2 linked regions of the Macaca fascicularis genome follow. The protein of the gene in region 1 interacts with the protein of each later gene in a biochemical or structural test. Links are inferred from orthologs where the notes say so. Each region holds a gene or a part of one and is shown on either strand. Other genes may lie near its edges.

Region 1 (8,004 bases):
CACAGGCCATGCTGTTCTTCAGGGTATAGCATCACCACCTCCTGTCCAGCTTAGGAGTTTAGTGCAGAGCCTGACCCTCCGGTTTCTAAGGAAACCTGGCAGACAGCTGGTCCACAAAGGCTCTGGCTATAAACTGTGATCCCCACAGGGGCAGCTGGGTCAGCACAATCCTCATAGTTTGTCCCTGGCCAGCTGGTTCCTCTCCTAACTCTGCAGGCTTCTGAAAGCCAGCTCAGCTTCATCTGAGAGACAGACATGGGACAGGACAGAGCCAGGGTGGGAGGTGGCACCTCAGGGAACGTCTCCTCAGTGTCCCCTCCAGATTCTCCTTGGTGTCCAGGGTGCTGAGGGTGTGGGGGTGTCCGGCATTCTGCATGTGAGGAGCGAGCTGGGCCTCCAGCCGCAGCTGGTCCAGGCGTTGGGAGACGGGGTCATGTTCAATCAACAGCTGAAGTGTCTGGCTCGTCTGGCTAATTGCATCCTCCACCTGCGGCCAAGAGCAGTATAAAGCTCCCACAGGCTGCCCCATCCCAGGCCACCCATGGCCAACCCAGATGACTCAGGCACAGTGTGGCCAGTGCTCAACTTGGCTAATGGTGGCCTCTAGCTGTCAGTGGCCTCACAGTGCCCTCTGCCTGGCATCCTGTCAGCTCTCCCATCCGTCAACCATCCCTGCTACCCTGGCAACCTGTTAAGCTGTAATAGGTCATCAGTGGTCACAGGCTCAATGCTAAGACAAAGAGATGGGCTGGCGGTAGGAAAAGGTAAAGGCTATAGCCTGATTTCCCAGAGGATCTATTCCATGTCCCACCCTCACAAGACAGATTAGACACACACTCTACCTCCTCCACTCGAAGTGTGCGGACCGGGGTCCCATTGATCTCCAGGATGCGGTCCCCAGGGTGGATGGCATTGCGATTGTTGGGACTGATGTGCATCCGGTTGACCCTGGGCCAGACAAAAGTTAAGGCAGGGTAAAGATGTCCTAAAAACCTGCTTGACCAATTCTGCTTGTGCAGGGAAGGTCCCAGGCCACCAGTTGCCCCTAAAGGGCCCAGGATATCCACATGGAAAGGCAACACCTTTTCTAGGATGCCCCATCTCAGTGAAGGGAATTGCCACCCACCCTGTGGCCTAAGCCAGAAACTTGGACATCATCTTCCCCATTTGGAGTTCCCTCATCCCTCTCCTACTCCCATCTCTAAGAACTCTGCCTTCTTTCCATCATTGTAGTTATTCACATCTCTTACCTGGATCACTGTAATAGCTTCTTTTTTTTTTTTTAACTTTAATTTTTTTTTGAGATGGTGTCTTACTCTGTCATCCAGGCTGGAGTGCAATGGCATGATCTGGGCTCACTGCAACCTCCGCCTCCCAGGCTCAGGCAATTCTCATGCCTCAGCCTCTTGAGTAGCTGGGACTACAGGCGCCCGCCACCGCGCCCGGCTAATTTTTTTTGTACTTTTAGTAGAGATGGGGTTTCACCGTGGTCTCGATCTCCTGACCTTGTGATCCGCCCGCCTTAGCCTCCCAAAGTGCTGGGATTACAGGCGTGAGCCACCGCACCCGGCCTTATATCTGGACTTTTAATTTTAAAAAATAGAGATGGGGTCTTGCTATATTGGCCAGGTTGGTCTTGAACTCCTGGCCTCAAGCAATCCTCCCACCTCAGCCTCCCAAAGTCCTGAGATTACAGGCATGAGCCACCATGCCCAGCCTACAACAGCTTCCTAACTGGTCTGTATACCTCTAGGCTTTCCCCTCTCCAATCCAACCTCCGTACCAGTGATCCTTCTAAAATGTTAACTTGGTCACAACAGCTTGCTGCTTAAACTCTCAATGGATCTGCTGGATCTTCATAATCCAGGCCCTCTGTATGCTTAACAGCCCCTTTTTTGGCCACACCCAACCTACATCAGACATGATTAAGACTCCCACTTTTGGAGAATGTTTCTCCCTCTGCCCTGAACACAATTCCCTCTCCTCTTCATCTAATGAGGTGGTAGAACAGACTTTAGCTGCTCCTGCCTTCCCAAACTCTAGTATCTTTCACCTACTGTGCAAGCACTAGCCTAGTGTCCAACACATGGTAGATGCAAAATCAACATTTACATGGTAAGCAGCCAGAGGTACGACATTACTGGTATGAGATAGACACAGACTCTTTCTCCATCTGGTCTCTGGCCTCAATCTAGGATAGGGTCTTAACTTCTTTTGGGCCATAGACCACATTTTCTCCGTTCACTCTCTCAACTGACAAAATAATAATCAACCAACTCCTACTATATGCCAGGTACTGTTCCAAGCCCTGGGCATGCAGCACTGAACAAGACAGCAAGTTCCTTCTGGAATTTACATTCTAGTGGAGGGGAAAGAAGATAAACAACTAATACACATAATCAAGCCAGATAATTTCAAAGAGCAAACATGATCTGAAACCTGACACCTGAAAGATGAGTGATTCTGGCCTTAAGTATCTGGTAGGAAGTAGCCTGGACAGAGAGAACAATAAGTGCCAAGGCCCAGGTGTGGTTACAGCATAGTGGGGTCCAGGAGAAAGATATGAGATGAGAATAAAGGGAGTTCTGCATGAGACTTTGGAGATCTAAGCCCTCTGAGGCCCATTTACAGACTCTGCTCAAGAACCCCTGCTGAAGGGTTCTCAAAATACTTACTCTTTCACTTGCACAGTGGTGGCGTAGTTGGAGCAGGCACTCTCCACGGACACAGAGAAGCCCCGCCTGCCTTCAGTGGTCGCTGGCATGGAGATGAGCGTGACAGAGTAGGGCAGCTGGTCCTGAACAGACTCTGTGGAGAGTCTCTCAAACATAGGTGCCAGCACCACCTCATTGTGGCACTTCCCACTGGGGAGAGGGCACAGGGGGGAGTATGATGCTAGAGTCCCATGCAGAAGCCCCCCAGCAACCACTGCACCATGTGGCTTTAAGCAACAGTACCTATAGTCTCACTACCACCCTCTTTGTCATGATTCTAGCTGGCTGCTCAGAATGAGGAGCCTGGGTTCTCAGGGTGGGCTGGGACTGGGGGTGCTGAGCTGGATCTGCAGCAAGTGGTATATTTGGAAGAACATTGGCCTGGGTTGGGGTGAGATGGCCTGGGTTCTCTTCACTCTGCCTTTGACTCACAATGAGAACCTTGCCCTTGTACTATTCTATTCCATGAGCTCCAGGCTGACTTCTTTCATCAACCAAGGTGGTTGGACAGGGTGAGCTCTAAGGGGTCTTTGACTTTAATGTTCTGGGATCCTCCTTGAAGGTGCCTCCCACTGGGAGGACTGCAGGGCAGAGTGAAGACATTTTCAAGGTAGGTAAGAAAAAAGGGTAGAGACATGTGTAAATCATTCTGCTTACAAGTTAAAGAGCTGGTTAAGAGCACTGCTGTGATAGGAATCCAATGCTCTGACTACACTAACACTCTGCCCAACTCACCCTGCCACCGTCCCTCCCCCAGGCCACTCTTATATGGGAGAGGATAGACAAAGGACTACCATCTTACCAGTAGAGGGTGGCGTGCTGCACCAGTGCATATGCATCCCCATCCTCGATGATCACCTTGCAGCTCATACAGGCAAAGCACTCTGGGTGGTACTTGAACTCCCCAGCCACCTGTGAGCAGGTGGGGAGAAGGGTGCACAAAGGGAGGAAGGAAGTGAGTTATCACTGTTGCTGGAGTGAGGACAGGGGTAGGTGAATGACCTCCAATCAAGGCCCCAGTCAAAATCCACTCTTTCACTCTCTGCCCTAGAGCTTCCAAAGAAAGTGTCAGATTGGTACCTCCTGTCATTTCTGAGACTGCACAAAACTGTTTTCGTTTCAGTTATGAGAACAAGTCCCCAGAAGTAATCATCCCCACTAAAAAAGATCACAGTTCCTCCAATACAGGGTTAGCAAGTCTGTGACTATGCTTAAAGTCCTGTGTCCAGAGTGGGTATAAGAGGTAGCACCTCTCTCTGCCAGCCCATTCCAGAGTCTCCTTTTCTTATTCCCTGAACACAACCTAGGTATATCCTCCTTTCAGCCTATAACAGTCTCCTTTGAGGTCCTTATCCAACTATACTGTGTCTCCTCTCTGCCTGCCTCTCCTCCCACTCCCAACATTAAACTTTTTTTTTTTTTTTTTTTTTGAGACGGAGTCTCGCTCTGTCGCCCAGGCTGGAGTGCAGTGGCCGGATCTCAGCTCACTGCAAGCTCCGCCTCCCAGGTTTATGCCATTCTCCTGCCTCAGCCTCCCGAGTAGCTGGGACTACAGGCGCCGCCACCTCGCCCGGCTAGTTTTTTTTTTGTATTTTTTAGTAGAGATGGGGTTTCACCGTGCTAGCCAGGATGGTCTCGATCTCCTGACCTCGTGATCCGCCCGTCTCGGCCTCCCAAAGTGCTGGGATTACAGGCGTGAGCCACCGCGCCCGGCCTAAACTATTAAGTCTTTGAGGGAAGGATCTTACCTTTCACTTAATAGGTGCTCAGCTGATACCTGCTGGTTGAATGAATGAATGAATAAAGGGAGATGCCCTGGCTGATGGAAAGACCAAAAGATGAACAGCCACGGGGAACTGGAAGCACTGTCAATGGACTGAACTGGAAGCACTGTCAATGGACTCTGAAGACCAAGAGGGGCAGATATGAAGGGACTCACTCACCATAAAAGGCCCTGTCATCAGCAGGGAGCACCCATGACAGAACTCCCCAAACTTCCCCCAGTAGTCCTTGGGGCAGTAGAGCTTCCCATCTTTCTCGTAGTACCAGTTGGTGAGGGAATCCTGGCATTCTGAACACCTGAAAGGCAAGACAAGAACTGAAATTCTCCTGGATCCCTGGAACCGGGCCACATAGGCTGTCCCTGGCTCCTAGGTCTGACAACAAAATAGACAGTCCTCTTTGATCCAAAGCCAAGATGGGGGAAAGCTACAGCCTTGTGCTATCTCCCCAAGGGAAGCTGGTTCAGAGTGAATAAGGCCCCAGAAACCAGCTCTGTGTTGCCTGCCTCAGTGGACAGACTAGTGTTTCACAACCTCTTTGGGTCTTGGAGCCCTCTGAGAATTTGATAAAAGCCAAGAAGCCTCCCTTAGAAAAATGCACATATAAGGAAGATGTGTATATAATTTAGGTGGGTGTGTGTGTGTGTATATAAAGGATTCTCTGAAACCTATTTATGGCACCAGTTAAGGACCTCTGGTCTTGACAGATATTTCAATGAACAAAAGCAGTTTGATCATCTCCACTCTTCAAAACTGACCCATCACCAACAGCATTACCAATGTAATGTTCTTGCCAAAAATATGTTAAGTATAAAAAAACTAATCAGGCAAATCTAGAATGTGGGTTATTCTATAAGATAACTGGTCTTGACTCTTCTAAAAAGTCATGGGGAGAAGAAAAGGCACAGATTTAAAAAAGCCTAGAGACACAGCAACCAAATATGATGCCTACACCTTGGATTCAAATTTAGATTAAAAAAGGCAACAGCCATGAACATTTTTTGGAACTGAGGAAATCTGGATTTGGACTATAATATTATATTGTAAAATTACTGTGAATTTTCTTAGATGTGATGATATTTGACTTATATAGGAGAATTCTTAGGAGAAACATATTGAACTATTTAAGGGTAAAAGTCAAGATGCATTTAAGTTACTCTGAAATAGTTCAGCAAAAATAAATAAATGAAAGTATATAGACAGAGGGAGAGAGAGACACAAAGTGGCATAACATTAACAAATGATGAATCTATGTGAAAGGTATGTAGGTGTTATTTGAACTACATTTTCAACTTTTTTACATATTTGAAATTTTTTTCAAAATAAAATATTGGGGAAGAAACCCAACATTCTATTAGCAACGTGTAAGATGTATATGTTTGGCCGGGCGCGGTGGCTCAAGCCTGTAATCCCAGCACTTAGGGAGGCCGAGACGGGCGGATCACGAGGTCAGGAGATCGAGACCGTCCTGGATAACATGGTGAAACCCCATCTCTACTAAAAAATACAAAAAAAAAACTAGCCGGGCGAGGTGGCGGCGCCTGTAGTCCCAGCTACTCGGGAGGCTGAGGCAGGAGAATGGCGTGAACCCGGGAGGCGGAGCTTGCAGTGAGCTGAGATCCGGCCACTGCACTCCAGCCTGGGCGACAGAGCGAGACTCCGTCTCAAAAAAAAAAAAAAAAAAAAAAAAAAAAAAAAAAAAAAAAAAGATGTATATGTTAGATCCACAGCTTGCTGGGCGGGGTGGCTGATGCCTGTAATCCCAGCACTTTGGGAAGCTAAGATGGGAGGATCACTTGAGCCCAGGAGTTCGAGACCAGCCTGAGCAACATAGTAAGACCCCGTCTCTTAAAAAAAAAAAAAAAAAAAATCCATAGCTCCCTTCTCCCCTAATCACCTGGCTATGAATCCCACCTCTCAAAAGTCAGGTGTGTTGTCAGGACTTACCTGCACAACCTCCTCCTTCCTTCTGAGCTTCCCAACACACACAGCTAAGAGCTCATTGGCCTGCTGAGCCCATGCCATTTCTTTCCTTCTAGTTCCTTCTTTTCCCTATTCTCGTTGTCAAGGCCTTCCACCTTCCACAGTGGCCATATCGTTGTTTCCAAGAGGTTTCAACATTGCTTGGGTTGAATCTTGATCCTGCCACTTACTAGTTACGTCAACTTGGGCAAGATATTTTACTTACTTCTCTGGCCTAGTTTCCTCATCTATAAAATGAACTGCTGTGAAAATTAAAGGAAATAATATGTATTAAAAATATAGAGAGCAGCTGGGCACAGTGGCTCATGCTTGTAATCCCAGCACTTTGGGAGGCCGAGGCAGGTGGATCACTTGAAGTCAGGAGTTCGAGACCAGCCTGGCCAATATGGTGAAACCCGGTCTCTACTAAAAATACAAAAAATTAGCCGGGCGTGGTGGCACGAACCTGTAATCCCAGCTTCTCGGGAGGCTGAGGCAGGAGAATCGCTGGAACCCAGGAGGTGGAGGTTGTAGTGAGCCAAGATCATGCTACTGCACTCCAGCCTGGGTGACAGAGCCAGACTCCGTCTCAAAAAAAATTATGGATAGACAGAGATAGCTTATATAAAAGACCTAATATAGGCTGGGCATGGTGGCTCACACCTGTAATCCCAGCACTTTGGGAGGCTGAGGCAGGCAGATCACAAGGTCAGGAGTTTTGAGACTAGCCTGGCCAACATAGTGAAATCCTATCTCTACTGAAAATACAAAAATTAGCCAGTCATGGTGGCTTGCGCTTGTAGTCCCAGCTACTCAGAAGGCTGAGGCAGGAGAATTGCTTGAACCTGGGAGGCAGAGGTTGTGGTGATCCGAGACTGCACCACTGCACTCCAGCCTGGACAACAAAGCGAGACTCCGTCTCAAAAAAAAAAAAAAAAAAAAAAAAAAAAAAAAAAAGACCAAATATAGTAGAAACTCAGTATGTGTTAACTTTTATTAAACATGATAATGACAATGTAATGGCAGTTCACATTATCAGCCACTTCCTGTCACTAGCTGGACAACTTCTCTTAGTAGCTTTCTCTCATTGAAAACAACTAATAGCATCCCATTATTACAAAGAGCCAATGTGAAGAGGAAATAAGCTAATGTATGAGAGAAAGTCTTTTGCCAGGCAAGTGCATTATTATAACTTGCTAAGCACTGCAGATATAAAAGATAAATACACAGGGCACCCTACTTCACTTTTCGTGAGCTTATGAAGAGCTGAGGAAGAGAAAGTCTAAATAAAATTCAACAATGCAAGGTGAGAGGACACAATGAGTTCTACTACTTCTGAGCAATGCAGGAGGTAGAGAAGAGGGGCAGGAATGAGTTGAAGCAGCTGAGCTAGGAAGTCTAGACAAGCAAGTCCCTGAGAATTCCTTTATCTTTCTGGAGTGGCCAATTCCCCCCTGGGTGCTCAACAAACACTGATGGCTATTTTTACCCTATAGCTTTTCCTACTTGTCTTATGGAAGGGGAACTTCAGGGTCTAGAGGGCTGGG
Region 2 (8,004 bases), on another chromosome or scaffold:
GAACCTGGGAGGCAGAGGTTGCAGTGAGCTGAGATTGCGCCACTGCACTCCAGCCTGGGCCACGAGAGCGAAACTCCACCTCAAAAAAAAAAAAATTATATATATATATATATATATATATATATATATATATATATATGAAAGAAAATTAAAAATAACAATATAATAATTAAAAATACAAATTTCTAAAAAAAAAAATACAGTATAACAACTGTTTACATTGCACTTACACTGTATTATGTCTTATGAGTAATCCAGAGATGATTTTAAAGCATACAGGAGGATGTGCCTAGGTTATATGCAAATACTACACCATTTTATATGAGAGCCTTGAGCATACTTGGACTTTTGACATTTTTGGAGTTCCTGGAATCAATTCCCCATGGATATCAAAGAACAGCTGTGTAGGATTCTTTGGTCATTATTAAGGGGAAATATAAATATATCTGTTCTTTTGTAGTGATAGGTCAAAGAGGCCTATAATATAGTATTTTTTCCTTATATTCATTCTAAAATCATTTCTTATTGTTGCTTATATTATCATAGATTATGCAGTATGTATAAAGATGAGTAAATTCCATAATTAAGGAGCTTACCGACTAGTAAGAGAAAAGGCAAAACATGCAACAAAATATAAATTCAAAGTCAAGTATGGTAACTGCTTTTTAAAAGAAATACATATGCCGGGCGCGGTGGCTCACGCCTGTAATCCCAGCACTTTGGGAGGCTGAGGCAGGCGGATCACAAGGTCAGGAGATCGAGACCACGGTGAAACCCCGTCTCTACTAAAAATACAAAACATTAGCCAGGCGCGGTGGTGGGCGCCTGTAGTCCCAGCTACTCAGGAGGCTGAGGCAGGAGAATGGCGTGAACCCGGGAGGCGGAGCTTGCAGTGAGCTGAGATCGCGCCACTGCACTTCAGCCTGAGCGACAGAGCGAGACTCCGTCTCAAAAAAATAAAAAAAGAAATATATATATAAAATAAAGTTTTGCCATCCCTTTGGAATTAAGTATTTGTGGAGCTGGTTATAGTTAGAATGTAAAAAGAATTAAGCAAGTACTAGAGAATACTCATATTTTCTTTTCTTTTTTTTTTTTAAAAAAAGCTTTAGTTGTCAAAATTTAAATTATCAGCTTAAGTGAAATAATAAACACTTATATGAAAGATATTATCTTTCAACTAAGTTAAATACTTTTTAGATTGATGAGAGATTTCTTTCCTCTCTTTATTAAGGTATAATTTCCCACAATAAAGTTCATAGATCTTAAGTGTTCTGTTCAGTAACTTTCTACAGTTGTAAACACTCATGCAATCACCACTCAATACAAGACAAAAAAAATTTGTATTTCTTTAGAAAACTCACTTGTGGCTGGGCACAGTGGCTTATGCCTCTAACCCCAGCACTTTGGGAGACCGAGCTGGGCGGTTGCCCTGAGTTCAATTCGAGACCAGCCTGGGCGACATAGCAAGACCCTGTCTCTGAAAAAAGAATATAGATATATATTTTTTAATTTATAAAGAAAGCTCACTTGGGCCGGGTGCAGTGGCTCATGCCTATAATCCCAGTACTTTGGGAGGCCGAGATGGGAGGATCACGAGGTCAGGAGTTGATTCGAGACCAGTCTGGCCAACATGGTGAAACCCTGTCTCTACTAAAAATACAAAAGATTAGCTGGGCATGGTGGCAGATGCCTGTAATCCCAGCTACTTGGGAGGCTGAGGCAGGAGAATCGCTTGAACCCAGGAGGCAGAGGTTGCGGTGAGCCAAGATTGTGCCACTGCACTCCAGCCCGGGTGACAGAGCGAGACTCCATCTCACAAAAAAAAAAAAAAAGAAAAAAGAAGAAAGCTCACTTGTGCCTCTTCCCATGATCTGATTTCTATTGCCAAGATTAGTTTTGCCTGTTCTAGGACTTCATATAAATGGAATTAAACAGTACACTTTTGTGCCTAGCATCTTTCACTCATCCTGCACCTGTGGTGTTGTATGTATTGATTGTTCTTTGTATTGCTGAATAGTATAGCATTGTATGAATTTGTTTATCCATTTTTGTGTTGATTGACATTTGGGTTGCTTCCAATTTGGGGCTATCGTGAGTAAGACTTAGGAGCATTCCTTTTTTTAAACTTATGTTTTCATTTCTCATGGGTAAATACCTAGGAGTGGAATCCTGGATTATAAAATAGATCTGTGTTAGCTTTTCTAGTGGATGCTAAATGCTATCTCATTGTTATTTTAATTTGCATTCTCCTCATAACTAATAATAGCAAGAATCTTTCATGTCATTGTTAGCCATTGTGTATCTTTTCTTAAGTTTTTTCAAGTCTTTTGCCCATTTTTAAATTCGGTTGCTTATGTTTTTAAGATTGGTTTTTTTTTTTTTTTTTTTGAGACGGAGTCTCACGCTGTTGCCCAGGCTGGAGTGCAGTGGCGCGATCTCGGCTCACTGCAAGCTCCACCTCCCGGGTTCCCGCCATTCTCCTGCCTCAGCCTCCTGAGTAGCTGGGACTACAGGCGCCCGCCACCGCGCCCGGCTAATTTTTTTTGTATTTTTAGTAGAGACGGGGTTTCACTGTGGTCTCGATCTCCTGACCTTGTGATCCGCCCGCCTCGGCCTCCCAAAGTGCTGGGATTACAGGCTTGAGCCACCGCGCCCGGCAAGATTGGTTTTTAAGAGTTCTATATGTATTCTGAATAAAAATCCTATGTTAGAAATATGTAATGCAAATATTTCCCAATCTGTTGCTTGCCTGTTGATTTTCTTAATGGTGTCTTTTAATGAGGATCAGTGTACCAATTTTTAAAATGTTTTCTGCCTCTTGTGGTCCGTGTTTGGTAAGAGGTAGTTGTTTAGGTCAGGTTGGCTTTTTTTCCCCCACATAGGTATCTGGTTGTTCCAACAGTATTTGTTTTTATATATTGACCTTGAATCATTTAATCTTGCTTTGCACTTAACAGTTTTATAGGGTTGTGGGGTTTTGGGGTCAATTCCACAGGGCTTTTCTACACATAGTCATTCCTCTGTATCTGTGGGTTCTGCATCTGTATATTCATCCAACTATGGATTAAAAATGTAGTTAGGCCTACTATGGTTGTGTCTGTACTTAATATGTACAGATTTGTTTTCTTGTCATTATTCTCTAAACAATATAGTGTAACAATTTCCATAGCACTTACATCGTATTAGGTATTATATCTAGAGACAAGTTTAAATATACAGGAGGGTGTACTTAGGTTATATACAAATACTACACCATTTTTTTATCTTTTCTTTCTTTTCCTGTCTCGTCCCTCCCTCCTTCCCTCACCTTCTCTGTCTTTCTCTTTCTCTCTTCAAAATCCCCAGAGGATTTTGGTATCCTCCAGGGTCCTGGGACCAATCTGCCACGGATACCACGAGACAACTGCATACAATCATGTCATCACCAAATAATGAGTTTCACTTCTTTCTTTCCAATCTGTATGCCTTTCTCACATGTATAGATTCATATGGCCACCACCACACTCAAAATACAGAACAATTCCATCACAAGCATCCCTGTGCTACTCCTTTTGTAGCCAAAAGGCAGCTTCCTTCCTCCACCTCTCCCTAATCCATAGCAACACTAATCTATTCTCCATCTCCATAATTTTGTCTCTTCAAGGGTGTTATATGAATGGAATCAAATAATGTGTAATCTTTTATGATCAGCTTTTTTCCCATTCAGTATAATTCCCTTAAGATCAATCCACGTATGATTTGTTTTTTTCTTACAGAGTAGTATTCCATAGTGTAGATGTATCTCAGTTTGCGTACCCATTTATTTGGGTTGTTTCTAGGTTTTGGTTATTATGAATAAAGCTCCTGTGAACATCTATGTGGAGGTTTTTTTAAATAGATATAAAATTTTTAATAAATTTTTGTTTCTTGGAATTAAAGGCCTAACAGTGCAATTTGCTGGGTTATATGGTAAGCATATGTTTAGTTTTCTAAGAAATCGCCATATTCTTTTCCAGAGTGGCTCTGTAATTTTACGTTCCATCAGCAGTATATGAGTGATTTACTTTCTCCGCATTCTCACCAGCATTTGGTGTTATTACTATTTTTATATTTTTTTAACTCTGATAGATGTGTAGTGACACTAATTGTGGTTTTAGTTTGCATTTGTCTAATAACTGATGATGTTGAATATCTTTTTATGTGCTTATTTACCACCTGTATGTCCTCTTTAATGAAATGTCTTTTACAATAAATGAGTTTTTGTAAATGGCCTATATTTATTTTCATTTTAGTAAACTGTTTCACGTTAGACCTGTAACCCAAGGAGATGTGTATAGAGCTGAAACTGAAGAAATTCCTAAAATATTCCAGGTAAAAATCTGAAGTTATAATTTTAAAGAATCTAAGTCCTAAGTGTTTTTGTGAAGTAAATGTAAAATTTACCAATGCTTAAGATTTTAAAAATCTTTTCCTTTCACCATTCCTGAATGTAGATACTATATGCAAATGAAGGTGAATGTAGAAAAGATGTAGAGATGGAACCAGTACAACAAGCTGAAAAAACTAATTTCCAAAATCACAAAGGCCATGAGTTTATTCCTACACTCTACCACTTTCCTGCCAATTGTGATGCCTGTGCCAAACCTCTCTGGCATGTTTTTAAGCCACCCCCTGCCCTAGAGTGTCGAAGATGCCATGTTAAGTGCCACAGAGATCACTTAGATAAGAAAGAGGACTTAATTTGCCCATGTAAAGGTAAGGTATGGCAATTATTGTTACAACTTATAATAAATTTAGTTTTCAGTCTCAATGAAATAACTTATGTGTATTAATTTCTATACCAAGTTGAAAAGAGATTATAAAAAGTAATATTTTGACACTGGTGGAGCAATGTGCAGCTACTTACAGATTTAGCTTTTAAGAATGTTTTTATTGGCTGGGCGCGGTGGCTCAAGCCTGTAATCCCAGCACTTTGGGAGGCCGAGACGGGTGGATCACGAGGTCAGGAGATCGAGACCATCCTGGCTGACACAGTGAAACCCCGTCTCTACTAAAAAATACAAAAAAACTAGCCGGGCGAGGTGGCGGGCGCCTGTAGTCCCAGCTACTCGGGAGGCTGAGGCAGGAGAATGGCGTGAACCCGGGAGGCGGAGCTTGCAGTGAGCCAAGATCACGCCACTGCACTCCAGCCTGGGCGGCAGAGGGAGACTCTGTCTCAAAAAAAAAAAAAAAAAAAAAAAAAGAATGTTTTTATTTATTTTTGTTGATTGATTGAGATAGAGTCTCACTCTGTCTCGCCCAGGCTGGAGTGCAATGGCGTGATCTTAGCTCACTGCAGCCTCTGCCTCCCAGGTTCAAGGGATTCTCCTATCTCAGCCTCCTGAGTAGCTGGGACTATAGGCATGTGCCACCACACCTAGCTAATTTTGCATTTTTAGTAGCGATGGAGTTTCACCATTTTGCCCAAGCTGGTCTCGAACTCCTGACCTCAGGTGATCCACCTGCTTTGGCCTCCCCAAAGTGCTGGGATGACAGGTGTGAGCCATTGCACACCCGGCCAACAGTGTTTTTAAAGAGAATCACCCCCTTGTAAACAAACAAAAAAACCAAACATGCCACTAAGAAATTACTCCAAGTTGGAGAGGAGAGCAACAGGTGAGTTCTACTCTATTCCGCCCTTTAGTTTTTCCTCTTCTTTTTGTCTGGCATTCACTGCCTGGATCAGCATGCATGCTGTATCATAGACAGAATATTTTCTAGTTTAGCAGAGGTAGCTTGAGGGAAAGAATACAGACCATAGCTATTTTCAGATAAGAAACGTATGTTCTTTAAACATTTATTTGTTTTACTTTTTTTTTATGTTTCTGATTTTACTTTATTAGTTTGACTAATTTATTTTTAAATTTTATCCTTATTTAACTTAAGGAGAATGAGATATTGTTCATGCTTAATTAAGTATATTAAAACTTTTAAAATCTTAAGAACTTGAAAAACTATGCATTTGATAGGTTGGATTTAAAAAAAGATATGACTTTAATTATGCTTTTTTTTCCTCCTTAACATAGTAAGTTATGACGTAACATCAGCAAGAGATATGCTGCTGTTAGCATGTTCTCAGGATGAACAAAAAAAATGGGTAACTCATTTAGTAAAGAAAATCCCTAAGAATCCACCATCTGGTTTTGTTCGTGCCTCCCCTCGAACACTTTCTACAAGATCCACTGCAAATCAGTCTTTCCGGAAAGTGGTCAAAAATACATCTGGAAAAACTAGGTAAGGATTTGAAATGCTAACCTTTTTAACAATGTGAAAATGATTGGCTAACATCTATTAAAATCAGAAATCTAATTCTTTTCACCACAGAGGGCATCATTTTTAGGTCTTTGTATATGACTTGCAGTGACTTTATAAATTAGTTTGACTTATTCTTGTTAGAATTTAAAAATAATAATACATGCAATATTATATTTATTTAGTTCTGTGTCTAATTTTATTGTCATAAGTTGCTGTACATGGCATAGTTTTAGCCCTTAATGCTTTAACCAACTTGTGAATTTTTTTAATGCAGAAATTCATATAAAACTTTTAATCATCTTTTCTGTTTTTTAACTGTGTTGGCATAGTTTTTCTACAAAAACCAAGATTGTTTTTCCCTTCTTTGTTAACTTCCCATACTATCGCAACATACAAAATTATTTGGTATTATCAGTGACTATTTTTTTTAATTATTGTACTTTAAGTTCTGGGATATATGTGCAGAACCTGCAGGTTTGTTACATAGGTATACATGTGCCATGGTGGTTTGTTGCACCCATCAACCCATCATCTACATTAGGTATTTCTCCTAATGCTATCCCTCCCCTAGTCCCCCGACCCCCCGACAGGCCCTGGTGTGTGATGTTCCCCTCCCTGTCTCCATGTTTTCTCATTGTTCAACTCCCACTTATGAGTGAGAACCTGTGGTGTTTGGTTTTCTGTTCCTGTGTTAGTTTGCTGAGAATGATGGTTTCCAGCTTCATCCATGTTCCTGCAAAGGACATGAACCTATCCCCTCGCCACCCCCGCCCCCTTTTTTTTTTTTTTTGAGGCAGAGTCTTGCTTTGTTGCCCAGGCTGGAGTGCAGTGGCGTGATCTCGGCTTACCACAACCTCAGCCTCCTGAGTAGCTGGGACTACAGGTGCATGCCACCATGACTGGCTAATTTTTGTATTTTTAGTAGAGATGGGGTTTCATTATGTTGGCCAGGCTTGTCTCGAACTCCTGATCTCATGATCCACCTGCCTCTGCCTCCCAATGTGCTGGGATTATAGGTGTGAGCCACCATGCCCAGCCGAACTTATCCTTTTTTATGGCTGCATATCAGTAACTATGTTATTACAAACAAACTTCCCAGTTAAGTCCTACTTCTTTTGTTGTTTAACTTTTTTTTGTTTTTTAAGACAGAGTCTCACTCTGTCACCCAGGCTGGAGTGCAGTGGCGGCACTGTCTCAGCTCACTGCAACCTCCACCTCCCAGGTTCAAGCAATTCTCCGACCTCAGCCTCCCAAGTAGCGGGGATTACAGATGGATGCCACCATGCCTGGCTAATTTTTGTCATTTTAGTAGAGAGAGGGTTTCATCATGTTGGCCAGGCTGGTCTCAAACTCCTGACCTCAAGTGATCTGCCTGCCCCAGCCTTCCAAAGTGCTGGGATTACAGGCATGAGCCATCACGCCTGGCTGTTTAAATATTTTTGATGGACTTTTTTCCAAAAATATCTTTTATGCCATGATAAACAATTATAAGGCATAACCATTCATTCATTCATTCATTCATTCATTCATTCATTCATTCATTTTGAGACAGAGTCTCGCTCTGTTGCCCAGGCCAGAGTGCAGTGGCACAATCTCAGCTCACTGTAACCTCTGCCTCCTGGGTTCAAGCTGTTCTCCCACCTCAGCCTCTTGAGTAGCTGGGATTACAGGTACACACCACCACACCCTGCTAATTTTTGTATTTTCAGTAGAGATGGGGTTTCACCA

What was found.
Region 2: of the proteins of LIMK2 (region 1) and ROCK1, one has a biochemical effect on the other in vitro, tested with the Homo sapiens proteins (2 studies listed by BioGRID). The link is inferred for Macaca fascicularis from reciprocal best matches to the Homo sapiens genes LIMK2 and ROCK1.

Annotation. Positions count from the first base shown.
Region 1 is NC_088384.1:20,381,012-20,389,015, forward strand, and holds part of LIMK2 (LIM domain kinase 2), read right to left. Parts: intron 4,794-8,004; coding exon 4,658-4,793; intron 3,627-4,657; coding exon 3,517-3,626; intron 2,865-3,516; coding exon 2,676-2,864; intron 949-2,675; coding exon 843-948; intron 488-842; coding exon 291-487; intron 1-290. UniProt on the Homo sapiens protein: Serine/threonine-protein kinase that plays an essential role in the regulation of actin filament dynamics. Acts downstream of several Rho family GTPase signal transduction pathways.
Region 2 is NC_088392.1:68,800,837-68,808,840, forward strand, and holds part of ROCK1 (rho-associated protein kinase 1), read left to right. Parts: intron 1-4,274; coding exon 4,275-4,353; intron 4,354-4,475; coding exon 4,476-4,737; intron 4,738-6,047; coding exon 6,048-6,255; intron 6,256-8,004. UniProt on the Homo sapiens protein: Protein kinase which is a key regulator of the actin cytoskeleton and cell polarity.